Oryctolagus cuniculus: one gene and its partners. The protein of the gene in region 3 purifies or fractionates together with the protein of the main gene of each other region. This does not show direct contact. Links are inferred from orthologs where the notes say so. Each region holds a gene or a part of one and is shown on either strand. Other genes may lie near its edges.

Region 1 (3,602 bases), on a different chromosome or scaffold from region 3:
CTGTAGAAGTTTGTCACTGACCTGTGTTCCTGAACAGTGAAACATGATATTACATGCCTGAGGAATAGTTTCTTTTGATAAATAATTGACAAATATGGAGGGGGAAGGGAGACTGAGAATTTCAAAAAGAAGTTTTGAATATTGATGATGGTAATGGCTACTTATGAAATATTCATTGTGGACCAGTAGGCAGGTTCTGGATCATTCATGTTATCTCCCTTATTTTTTAAAGATTTATTTATTTGATAGTCAGAGTTACACAGAAGGAGAAGCAGAGAGAGAAAGAGAGGTCTTCCATCCGCTGGTTCACTCCCCAAATGACCACAACGGCAGGAGCTGGGCCGATCCGAAGCCAGGAGCTTCTTCCAGGTCTCCCACATGGGTGCAGGGGCCCAAGGACTTGGGCCGTCTTCCACTGCTTTCCCAGGCCATAGCAGAGAGCTGGATTGGAAGTGGAGCAGCCCAGACTCAAAAACATCACCCATATGGGATGCCGGCACTGCAGGTGGCAGTTTTACCCACTATGCCACAGCGCCAGTCCCTCTTATAATAATATGAACTGCGAATATTATCCTATTTTAGAAATGGGGAAACAGAGCCTTAGGGAGGTTGGGCAGCTCACTGTAGATCATCCACTATGATGTGGGGAACCCTGTTTGTGTAACTCCATAGCGTACATTCAGTCCCCCTCCATGTAAATACACCTGTTGCAGTTATAAACCACTGGGTAAGCAGAAATCAGAGGAAGAGCTCAAAGACAAGAACCAGCTCTTAGAGGCCGTCAACAAGCAGTTGCACCAGAAGTTGACAGAAACTCAGGTGAGAAGCCCACCACACCTCTGTCACTAGCTGCCACTGGGCACTGCGTGTGCGGTCTTGAGGGATGGCGCTCTGGGGAGGAGCAGGCTTGCAGTGCCTGACTGCCTGACCGCACAGAGAGAAGCAGCCAGGCTCGTGCTGGCGCTGTCCAGGAGCAAGGGGGAGGAAGGCTGTCTACTCGTGGAGTCTGGGAGGGTTCCCGACTGACTGTGCGCCACCACCACAGGGAGAGCTGAAGGACCTGACCCAGAAGGTAGAGCTTCTAGAGAAGTTTCAGGACAACTGTTTGGCAATTTTGGAGAGCAAGGGCCTTAACCCAGGTAAGAGAACACACACAGCTGCCTTCAAAGAGAACAGCACAGGTCCACCTTCCTGAGCTGACTAGCAGTGTGGCATCAGCTGGTCCAGGCAGGGCAAAGGTTGCATGACAAAGCACTAAAGTGCTTTGAGAGCTTCTGTTTGTTTCCATACAGTGTTCATTTGGCCTGCCCGACAGAATTTCAAATGACTGAAGACAGAAACATCTTTCTTTCTCTTCTTTCTTTTCTTTATTTGAAAGGCAGAGTTACGGGGGTTGGCGGGGGGGGGGGGGGGGGCGGGTTGGAGAGTCAGAGAGATAAGGTCTTCCATCTGCCAGTTCATTCCCCAAATGGCCACAATGGCTAGAGCTGACCATGAAGAAGCCAGGAGTTTCTTCCAGGTCTCCCACGTGGGTGCAGGGGCCCAAGGACTTGGGTCTTCTTCTACTACTGTCTCAGGCACATCATCAAGAAGCTGGATTGGAAGTGGACCAGCCAGGATTGAACCTGCACCCATATGGAATAGGTGCTGTGCCAAGTGCTGGCCCCTATCTCTTTCTTATCTAAACTCTTTATGCCATTCATTTGGTGCCAACAGGTTTAAAGTTGCAAACAGACCAGAAATATTTTGCTCCTTTCATGGGAGATAACAGCATGCTGGTGACTCCTTGATGGCAAGAGGTAAAGGAGAATACTTTTGCAAGGGGTCCTGAACCTAGCTAGTCACAGAATCCAGCAGATTCTGTGGTTGACATGGGACTCAAGTTCTGACCCTGTCCCTGGACAGCAGAGTTTAGCAAAGAAGAGACCGGAAAAAGGAGTTGCCCAAAGAGTGCAAGAGGAGCCACAGAATGGCCAGAAAAGGGCTGAGGCCTCGTGGAATTGAAGAATGCCAAGTCTGAGGCGAATGTTGAGCCCAACAGTTAAGATGCCTGCTGTAGGCCGGCGCCGCGGCTCACTAGGCTAATCCTCCGCCTAGCGGCGCCGGCACACCGGGTTCTAGTCCCGGTCGGGGAGCCGGATTCTGTCCCGGTTGCCCCTCTTCCAGGCCAGCCCTCTGCTGTGGCCAGGGAGTGCAGTGGAGGATGGCCCAGGTGCTTGGGCCCTGCACCCCATGGGAGACCAGGAAAAGCACCTGGATCCTGGCTCCTGCCATCGGATCAGCGCGGTGCGCCGGCCGCAGCGCGCCGGCCGCGGCGGCCATTGGAGGGTGAACCAACGGCAAAAGGAAGACCTTTCTCTCTGTCTCTCTCTCTCTCACTGTCCACTCTGCCTGTCAAAAAAAAAAAAAAAAAAAAAAAAAAAAAAAAAAAAAGAAAAAAAAGATGCCTGCTGTGGCCCAGGCTTCTGACTCCAGCTTCCTGCTAATGCAGACCCTGGGAAACAACAGTGATGGCTCATGTAGTTGGGTTCCTGTCACCTCATGGGAGACATGGAATGATTAGACCAATGATGGGAGCTCTGTCTGTCTCACTCTTTCTGCTTCTCAAATAAATGTATTTTTTTAATTTATAATAAAAAATGCTGACTGTGATTAACCTGTGGGTTACAGGTTTAGGATATTCTTTGCAGTAACTGTAAACATTTTGATGATTTAAGTTAACTGTGTGCACACACTGTTAACGAAAAACAACAATTTTTTAAGGCTTGAAAGGCTTTTAAAAACAGTTTTGTAGGGTAAGGGTTTAGCCCAGCAGTTAAGACACCTGTATCCCACATCGGAATGCCCAGGTTTGCTTAAGTAATTGGGTTCTTGCCAGTCACATGGGAGACCTGGATTGCTCCGGCCCAGCCCAGCCCATCTCTAGCCATCGCGGGCATTTCTGGAGCTCTGTCTGTGTGTTTCTCTGTCTCATTGCAAATAAATAGATCATAATATTTTTTAAAGGTAGTTTTTATACTGTAAACAAAAAACTACATTTTCTTTGTACAGATTTTCAGCTGGGATAAGGAGAGTAGAGTGATTTTTTTGGCATACTGAAATCTAGAGACACGGGGGAAGTGCAGCAGCTGTGAATGGCGTGGGTGACCCTACCAGGGTGAGAACGCGGGAGAGAACGTCTAGGACTGGACACTTAATTTCCCTCATGAATAAAAGCCCTTCTGTCCCTGGTGGGGCCTCTGCTTTCTTTTGTTTAAAGTAAGTGTGCTAAATGAGGCTGACTGTCATACCCATTGGTTTTAGGCGGTGAGACCCTGGTGCCACAGCAGACCCCCGCCACGGATCACACAGACTCTATGGTGAGGGTTGGGTGTGAATGGGTCAGGCCGAGGGATTCTGGGCCTCTGGGAGTCTCAAAGTCTCCCCCATGTGCACAGCAATCCTCAGAAGTAATCTTTGATTGTCCCCGATAGGAGAGAACGACCAGACATGTACTCAATATAGCATATTTTACTTTAGAGGTAGCTTTGTGCTTACCAGTGTGAGTGAGTCTAAACTGAAAATGTGCTACTGTGAAACCTAACAGGGTGGACCTGTATGGA
Region 2 (3,602 bases), on a different chromosome or scaffold from region 3:
GAGATCTCCAAGGAATCCTCAGGAGTAAAGAAGCGACGAATACCCCGCTTTGAGGAGGTGGAAGAAGAGCCGGAGGTGATCCCTGGGCCTCCATCAGAGAGCCCTGGCATGCTGACCAAGCTCCAGGTGGGTAACTAGGGCCTAGAGCAAAGTGAGTTTGTAAGTTGAAGAAGCAAAAGTTGCATGGGTTCCTATTTACTGTGATCTTGTTTCAAATTAGTGATTATCACTTGGGGGATTTTTATTTGCTGCTTTATGTTTTAGCATTCCTTGGTTTAACCAGGAATATTCTAGTTAAGGGTTATTGAAATTGCCTACTGTGTGGCAAACAAGATATGTGGCATATATCTACCTCATTTTGTCATTGAGAAAACTAAGTTCTCAAAACTCAGGTTAGGCCGGCGCCGTGGCTCACTAGGCTAATCCTCCGCCTTGCGGCGCCGGCACACCGGGTTCTAGTCCTGGTCGGGGCGCCGGATTCTGTCCCGGTTGCCCCTCTTCCAGGCCAGCTCTCTGCTGTGGCCCGTGAAGGCAGTGGAGGATGGTCCAGGTGCTTGGGCCCTGCACCCCATGGGAGACCAGGAGAAGCACCTGGCTCCTGGCTTCAGATCAGCATGGTGCGCCAGCCACAGCAGCCATTGGAGGGTGAACCAACGGCAAAAAGGAAGACCTTTTTCTCTCTGTCTCTCTCACTGTCCACTCTGCCTGTCAAAAAAAAAAAAAAAAAAAAAGGTTGATGGTAGAGAAGAATTTCCAACTATAACTCAAAGAAGGTATTAATCTGTAAGTAATGTCAAATTGAGTTTGTATTTCTTCAGCAAGAAGTACCTGTTTTTTAAATAGGCACTGTTGAACAATTTTGATACTACATAAGCAATAAATATTTCTTGTACCATTTAAAATTTTGAGGGAGGCCAGTGTTGTAAAGCTGTTGCCCAGAAGGGGCACTGCTTCATGTCCCAGCTGTGCCACTTCTGATCCAGCTCCCTGCTAATGGCCTGGGAAAAGTAGCAGAAGATAGCCCAAGTGCTTGGGCCCTTGCCACTTACGCGGGAGACCTGAACAAAGGTCCTGGCTCCCGGCTTTGGACTTGCTCAGCCCTGGCCATTGCAGCCACTTGGGGAGTGAAACAGTGGATAGAAGACCTGTCTCTGTCTCTCCCTCTCTCTCTGTGTAACTCTTTCAAAAAAAATGTAATAAAATTTTGAGGGAGGGAATAGAATACACAGATACACACGGATGGATAGATTTGTATTCATGTGTGATATTTCTGGAAAAAGTGAAATTGATGATGTGTTTTATGGAGAATGGGGATGGGAGGATTCACAATATACCCTTTTGTAACTTCGAATTTTAAACAGTGAATTGTCTTCAGAAAGTTCATTGAAACTTCGTATTATGAAAAAAAAATCTTGAGCATGGATTTCAAAAGTGTTTTTGCACCTAAACAAACTTACCTTTTAATTCCATTTTCTTTTTAAGATTTTATTTATTTGAGAGGTAGAGTTATAGACGGAGAGAGGGAGAGACAGAGAGAAAAGTCTTCCATACACTGGTTCACTCCCCAAATGGCCACAATGGCCAGAGCTGCGCTGATCCGGAGCCAGGAGTTTCTTCCAGGTCTCCCACATGGGTGCAGGGGCTCAAGCACTTGGTCCATCTTCTATTGCTTTCCCAGGCCACAGCGGAGAGCTGGATCAGAAGAGGAGCAGTGGGACTTGAATCAGCACCCATATGGGATGCCAGCACTGCAGGTGGAGGCTTTACCTACTATGCCACACATTGCTGGCCCCTTAATTCCATTTTCTACTAACTTCTTGAAGCCACCTCATATATAAGTATATCACCTAATAAAAAAAGTTAAAAACAAAATTTAAAAAAGACCTTGAAGTACCTTGAGAGTAGGTTTTTAGAAAATGTGAAAAGAGTTATTAGCCCATACCCTCAAAGTTTATCATTCTGAACTTCTTTAGGACAGAAGAAGGGGTTTATTGAGACACTGAGGGACAGCTCTTTGCACCATCATCTGTGTTCCAGGAGCCTGGAATTCCATCCAGGTCTCCCACATGGATGGCAGGGACCCAAGCACTTGGGCCATCTTCTACTGCTTTCCCAGGCACATTAGCAGGGAGTTGACTCAGAAGCAGAGTAGCTGGGACTCCAGCTGTTTTTCCAGCACTGAGGTATAGGATGCTGGCATTGCAGATGACAGCTTAACCTGCTGTGCTGCAACAGTGGCCTTGCAGAGTCTTTTTTTTTTTTTTTTTTTTTTAATTTGAAAGGCAGAGTAACAGAGAGAAAAGAAAAGACAGCTTTAATCTGCTGGTTCAATCCCCAAATAGCTGCAACAGCCGGGGCTGGGCCAGGCCAAAGCCAGGAACCAAGAGCTTCTTCCCGGTTTCTCACATGGGTGCAAGGGTCCAAGCACTTGGGCCATCCTCCACTGCTCTCCCAGGCACATAAGCAGGGAGCTAGATTGGAAGTAGAGCCGGTGAGTGCCCATATGGGATGTTGTGCTGCAGGCAGCAGCTTAACTCACTGTGCCACAGGGCCAGCACCTCCCTCTCTCCCCTCCCTCATGCAGAGTCTTAATCACAAAGCTATATTACTACCTAACATGCCAGTCTTGCCTTAGGAAAATGGGTTGAACATCTATAATGCTCAGCTATTTAAGATTATCTTTACTAAATTTTCTAATCTGTGATGCAGGCAAAATAGGGTGGAGTCACTCAGAAAGTTTTAAGTTTCTAGATTTGAAAGCTTTATGGGCTTTGGAGCCTGCTTGGGAGAAATTAATGTTTTTTTAATTCTTTTTCCCCTGGAGAACAGATCAAACAGATGATGGAGGCAGCGACAAGACAAATCGAAGAAAGAAAAAAACAGCTGAGCTTTATTAGCCCCCCTACACCTCAGGTACTGTGCCCTGATTAAGAAGAAGAATCTTTAACACAGAGTTTCTTGCCAGTTCAGAAGGAGCTCACGTTTCACTCCGTGGTCATCTACCCCAGTCTGCCACCCATGATGTGTGTTGTGTGTAACTGTCTGCTTGTCTCAGTCCCTCTGATTGCTTTTTCTCTGTCTCACAGCCAAAGACTCCTTCTTCCTCCCAACCAGAGCGACTTCCAATTGGCAACACTATTCAGCCCTCCCAGGCTGCCACTTTCATGAATGATGCCATTGAGAAGGCAAGGAAAGCAGCTGAACTACAAGCTCGAATCCAAGCCCAGCTGGCACTTAAGCCAGGTCTCATTGGCAATGCTAACATGGTGGGCCTGGCTAATCTCCATGCCATGGGCATTGCTCCCCCGTGAGTATCTCCTGGAATCCTTTTCATTCTAAAGCCGGAGAAGTAATAAATACCTTGGAGTGTTACTGATCCTCTTATTCCAAAGAATCTAAATCCTATTTATAATGTCCTTTTTCTTATATATGAATGATAAGTATCAGTTGAACTTCTTCTCTTGTTTTCCTTATATAATTGAAAGAACTGAGATTAAGATTATTCATCTAGTATTGGAGGTAGGAGTAGAACTGGGTCTCTTGGTTTCTCAGTTTTATCTATTAAGCGACACTGAGTGATACCATGACTTCTGATTAATCTG
Region 3 (4,126 bases):
TATCACTTAAAGATCTTAATTGGCTTTGATTTCCATTAGAGTCAGGCAACACTCCCACCAACAGAACAAAGGAAGTGTCCAAGGGTTTGGGCAGAGGAGGTTGGCTTCATGGAGTTGAAAACAAAACAGAAAGAACAAAATGTGAATTGGTAACCCACTTTCCTTGGAGGGCGGGGACAGGGAGACTGAATAAGGTAAAAAATGATGGATTCATCAGCACCAGATGACTTCAGGTCACTGTTTGTAAGGATTAAAGCAGAGAGCTTATCAGAACCGTCATTATGCCTGCTTAGGGAACTTGCCCTGTTTAGGGACCACACTGGGTTGTTTAGGGAACATAGCTGTTATCTCGGTTTAGTAACTGCTTGAAAGATCAGATAACAATTCAGTTTGGGTTTGGCAACATGAACAGCCTCATCGTAAGGGCTTCCATCTGACCTGGTCCGTCAGGGTGCAGAGCAGAAGCCTCTGTGGTCTTCATGTTAAATATACCCTTTTCAGTAAAAATATAAAATCAGGAAGAAAAGAAACATACCCTGGTTATCACTTCCTCTATTTACAGCCGAAGAAACAGAGGCGTAGAGTCCGTACCGTGGACCACCTGTGTGGAGCTGGCATTTGGGCACAGTTTGACTGTCGAGTCCACGCTCTTGCCCCCTCCGCCATTAATTCTTCTCCCCAAGCCTGTGCTCACGCTGTTGCCCCTTCTAGAATACTCCATTCTCCTTCTTCTCTGACAATGCCCACCTGCGGAAGTCCAGCGCAGAAGTCTTCGCTGACCACACCTGTCCGTCCTACACCTTTGTCTGCTTCCCTACGTGAATCTCGAGAATATCCCATTTTACTGATCCCCACGAAGAACCAGACACTATCCGAACTGCAAGGGACCTAGAAGGACGAAGGGGCGGTGAAGCCGGCAACTTGTCTAAGACCACCGAGCAAACTGTGGTAGGAGTAGGGCCTTCAATTTCTTGGACAGTGTTCCTCTCCCTGTGCTTTCTTCACCAGGTCGGCCAGCAGTGTCTCTCAAAGGGCAGCCCAGAAAACACCTGCCTCAGAATTACGTGAGGCACTTTCAGACTTTCTAAGGCAGACCCGAGAAATCTACATGAGATTCGAAAGACTGCATTCCAATAGCTCAGTACAGAACGACTAGCCCTTTAAGTTCCCATTGCACTATGGGAAGTGTAGTTTCGGATCGCCTCTCCGCTGCTTGCCCCGCCCCTGAAGGCTTCACGGAAGAAGCCGAGTGAATCCGGAGACAGCCGATTGTCCCGGGGCGGGCTCTTTCCTGTGCCGTTGCATTCTGGGAAAGGGCAGTTTCCGTTAGGTGCTGAAGGCTGAGGCGCGCGACCGGCCACACTCCCACGTGAAACGCTACGCGGGCATCGCTCCGCGGGGTAGCTCCCTGCTTACCGCGGAGCGTCCGGAAGCAGCGGGGGAACCGGAAGTAGCCCGCAGAGGCGCCGAAGGTAGACCCGGAGCCCTGAGTAAGGCGCCTCAGAGCGCTGCGTCGGCGCCATGTCCCTGATCTGCTCTAGTGAGTACTGGCCGCTGGCGATCTCAGGTCGCAGGAGGCGGGAGAGAGGAGAGGGCTAGTGTGCAGGCCGCTGCGGCGCCGGGGTCGGGCGGAGGCGGGAACGGGCCGCCTGTCAGCACGGGGTGCTCTGCCCCTTACGGCGGCGTGTATTTGGCGCAGTGTTGGCGCAGTTTACTTATCACCTCAGGTTTATTGTCGCAGGGGTCACTTGGGCCCACTGGGCAGGCCTGGGCAGAGGAGCTGGTGCAGGGGAAGCCGCCGTGGTGTAGGAGCCAGGAAACCTGAGGATTTGTCCAGCAGCAGCCTTCGATCGGCCTTGCGATGTGGCGCGAGACGCTGGGCCTCAGTTTCCCCGTCTGCGAGACTGAGAGCATTGCGTTGGGTCTCGTCGGAGGTCTCGCACGGATAGTTGGAGCCTCTGCAGTTTGCGAAGGTCACGCAGGGAGCGAGAGGCCGACGGGGCTGGAAGCCAGGTGTCCGGCTCCCAGCCGCGCGCTGTGCATGACTGATAAAAAGAGCACACACATTGGTTTACAGCACGCTTCCAAGCCCACGATCTCGTTTTGTCCTCGCAGGAATTCCCTGCGGGAGGCGTACAAATGGGACTGTAGGGCTCGGGAGGAGTGGGGCTCCTGTGGAGGGGCACAGCCAGTGCCCGCGAGAGCTGGTTGATGGGGCCAGACTGACAGCGGACCGATTATTGTCTGGTGCAGACGACTAGGCCCAGGCAGTCATAGTGAACAGTGTCGCAGAGCTGCCTTGAAGAGATTAAGTGACCTCCTCTGCCCGGAGACCTTCGGCCTCTCCCGACGTGAGCCAGTCTCCCCTGAGTGATGAGATTCCAGAGGACGCATCCGTGATCCATGTATTTCTCTTGGAGAGCCTGTGTTGGGATAGATAAGGAATTCAGCGATACCTCCATTGCCACCACGCTTGGGTTGGGGGTGCAGAGAGAGAGGGGGCAAGAGACACTGAGCCTCAGCCTGCTTCTGGTTAGTCCAAAGTGTTGCCCATGCCGGACTGCCACACCTGGAGGTGCCCCCTCCTGAGCCCCGGCCCGAGCCTGCACTCATCCACCCGATTTGTTGGGTGCTGCAGGGCGTCTGCGTTGGACTGAAGTACCAGACGGGCTGTGCTCACTGCCCTTCAGGGGGGCACTGTCTCCCAGGGCAAGAATGTGTATGAGAACTGCTTGGAGGTTGTTGGGGGGACAGGTGCACCTGTGTGAAGTGCTTAGCATCCTGGCCGGCACGGAGTGAGCACCGTGTAAATGGTTCTGGTACCCTGGTGTCTGTCATGCTGCTGTGTAGTCCCTGTGTCTCCTGATCCAGTTAGGGTTGTGACTGAGGTGGATGGCAGCTGCCTGAATGGCTTCACACGCTCTCCAGGGTGTGGAGAGTAACTCTCTGGTGTGGGTCCCCAACTACCTGTTGAAAATGAGATGGCAGGGCTTATTGACTGCATTCTGGGTGCCCAGTGCATAGGAGCTGTGTAGTAGTTAATTTTTGACCACCCAGGCTTTCGAGAGACCAATGGAGAAGCCACATAGGTAGCTGGAGAACATTTAGGGGCTAGCCTAAAGCTGCCTTGGCATCATGTGCTTCCCCTGAGTTGAGTGGATGTGGGGACTTGTTGGGCTGGTGGCAGTTAGGAATCCCCTCGGCCCCAGATTGTCTTTCATCCCAAGCCTACTGCCTGCCTTTCTCTGCAGTCTCCAATGAAGTGCCAGAACACCCGTGCGTGTCCCCCGTCTCTAATCACGTCTACGAGCGGCGGCTCATAGAGAAGTACATTGCTGAGAATGGTACAGACCCCATTAACAACCAGCCTCTCTCCGAGGAGCAGCTCATCGACATCAAAGGTACCCGTTGGTCGGCCTCAGTGTGGGCCTCTTGGCTCAGAACCTGAGGTTGGGGTAGGGGGGTTGCCTGGGTTACAGGTTTTCACACCTGACTTTCCTCTCTTGGCAGTTGCCCACCCAATCCGGCCCAAGCCCCCCTCAGCCACCAGCATCCCAGCCATCCTGAAAGCCTTGCAGGATGAGTGGGTAAGTTCCTGGGAGAAAGCTGATGTCTCCCCCACTCAGAGAGAGTATATCCCTGGACTAGGACGTGGGGTGGGGGAAGGCAGCACAGGGGGAGCTTGGTGGTGAAGTCACACAACCTGGATCCCACGCTTCTCTCTCTCGCTCATGAGCAGTGTGACTGGATTTATTGCTCTGAGCCCTGATTTTCCTGACTGTATCACATAGATTGGTGCCTGGCTTAGAGTTTCTGAGGCGTAGAATAAAACTAGAGTGTCCACTTAGTGACATCAGGGGAGTACTTTTTTTCATCAGTGTTTTGCCAGCACCGAGAGCAGTGTCTGGGACATGGTAGGTACTCGGTAAATCCCAGCGAGTGAAGGAATGCGTGCGTGCATCTTGGGATGGGCACGTTGTCTCACACGATGAAGGTGGTCAATCCACAGCAGTAGCATTATCTCCTTTAGAGAGACAACAGTGTGACGTCCATGACTGACCAGTAAATTAAAGAGTATGGTGATGGGAAAGAGCTGGCTGCCACTCGTGTGTGTGTGCCCAGCACT

What was found. Proteins that work in one complex are often made in the same cells at the same time.
Region 1: the proteins of PRPF19 (region 3) and KNSTRN purify together in Homo sapiens (affinity purification with mass spectrometry; 4 studies listed by BioGRID and IntAct, counting the BioPlex papers as one, with this or other methods). This does not show direct contact. The link is inferred for Oryctolagus cuniculus from reciprocal best matches to the Homo sapiens genes PRPF19 and KNSTRN.
Region 2: the proteins of PRPF19 (region 3) and PRPF3 fractionate together in Homo sapiens (co-fractionation; 3 studies listed by BioGRID, with this or other methods). This does not show direct contact. The link is inferred for Oryctolagus cuniculus from reciprocal best matches to the Homo sapiens genes PRPF19 and PRPF3.

The regions. Positions count from the first base shown.
Region 1 is NC_091443.1:63,572,877-63,576,478, forward strand, and holds part of KNSTRN (small kinetochore-associated protein), read left to right. Parts: intron 1-713; coding exon 714-819; intron 820-1,045; coding exon 1,046-1,139; intron 1,140-1,716; coding exon of another isoform or gene 1,717-1,790; exon of another isoform or gene 1,791-1,852; intron 1,853-3,051; exon of another isoform or gene 3,052-3,157; intron 3,158-3,303; coding exon 3,304-3,359; intron 3,360-3,602. UniProt on the Homo sapiens protein: Essential component of the mitotic spindle required for faithful chromosome segregation and progression into anaphase.
Region 2 is NC_091438.1:47,647,352-47,650,953, reverse strand, and holds part of PRPF3 (U4/U6 small nuclear ribonucleoprotein Prp3), read left to right. Parts: coding exon 1-126; intron 127-2,829; coding exon 2,830-2,913; intron 2,914-3,086; coding exon 3,087-3,307; intron 3,308-3,602. UniProt on the Homo sapiens protein: Plays a role in pre-mRNA splicing as component of the U4/U6-U5 tri-snRNP complex that is involved in spliceosome assembly, and as component of the precatalytic spliceosome (spliceosome B complex).
Region 3 is NC_091432.1:11,685,759-11,689,884, forward strand, and holds the start of PRPF19 (pre-mRNA-processing factor 19), read left to right. Parts: upstream 1-1,298; 5' UTR 1,299-1,521; coding exon 1,522-1,540; intron 1,541-3,251; coding exon 3,252-3,401; intron 3,402-3,510; coding exon 3,511-3,587; intron 3,588-4,126. UniProt on the Homo sapiens protein: Ubiquitin-protein ligase which is a core component of several complexes mainly involved pre-mRNA splicing and DNA repair. Required for pre-mRNA splicing as component of the spliceosome.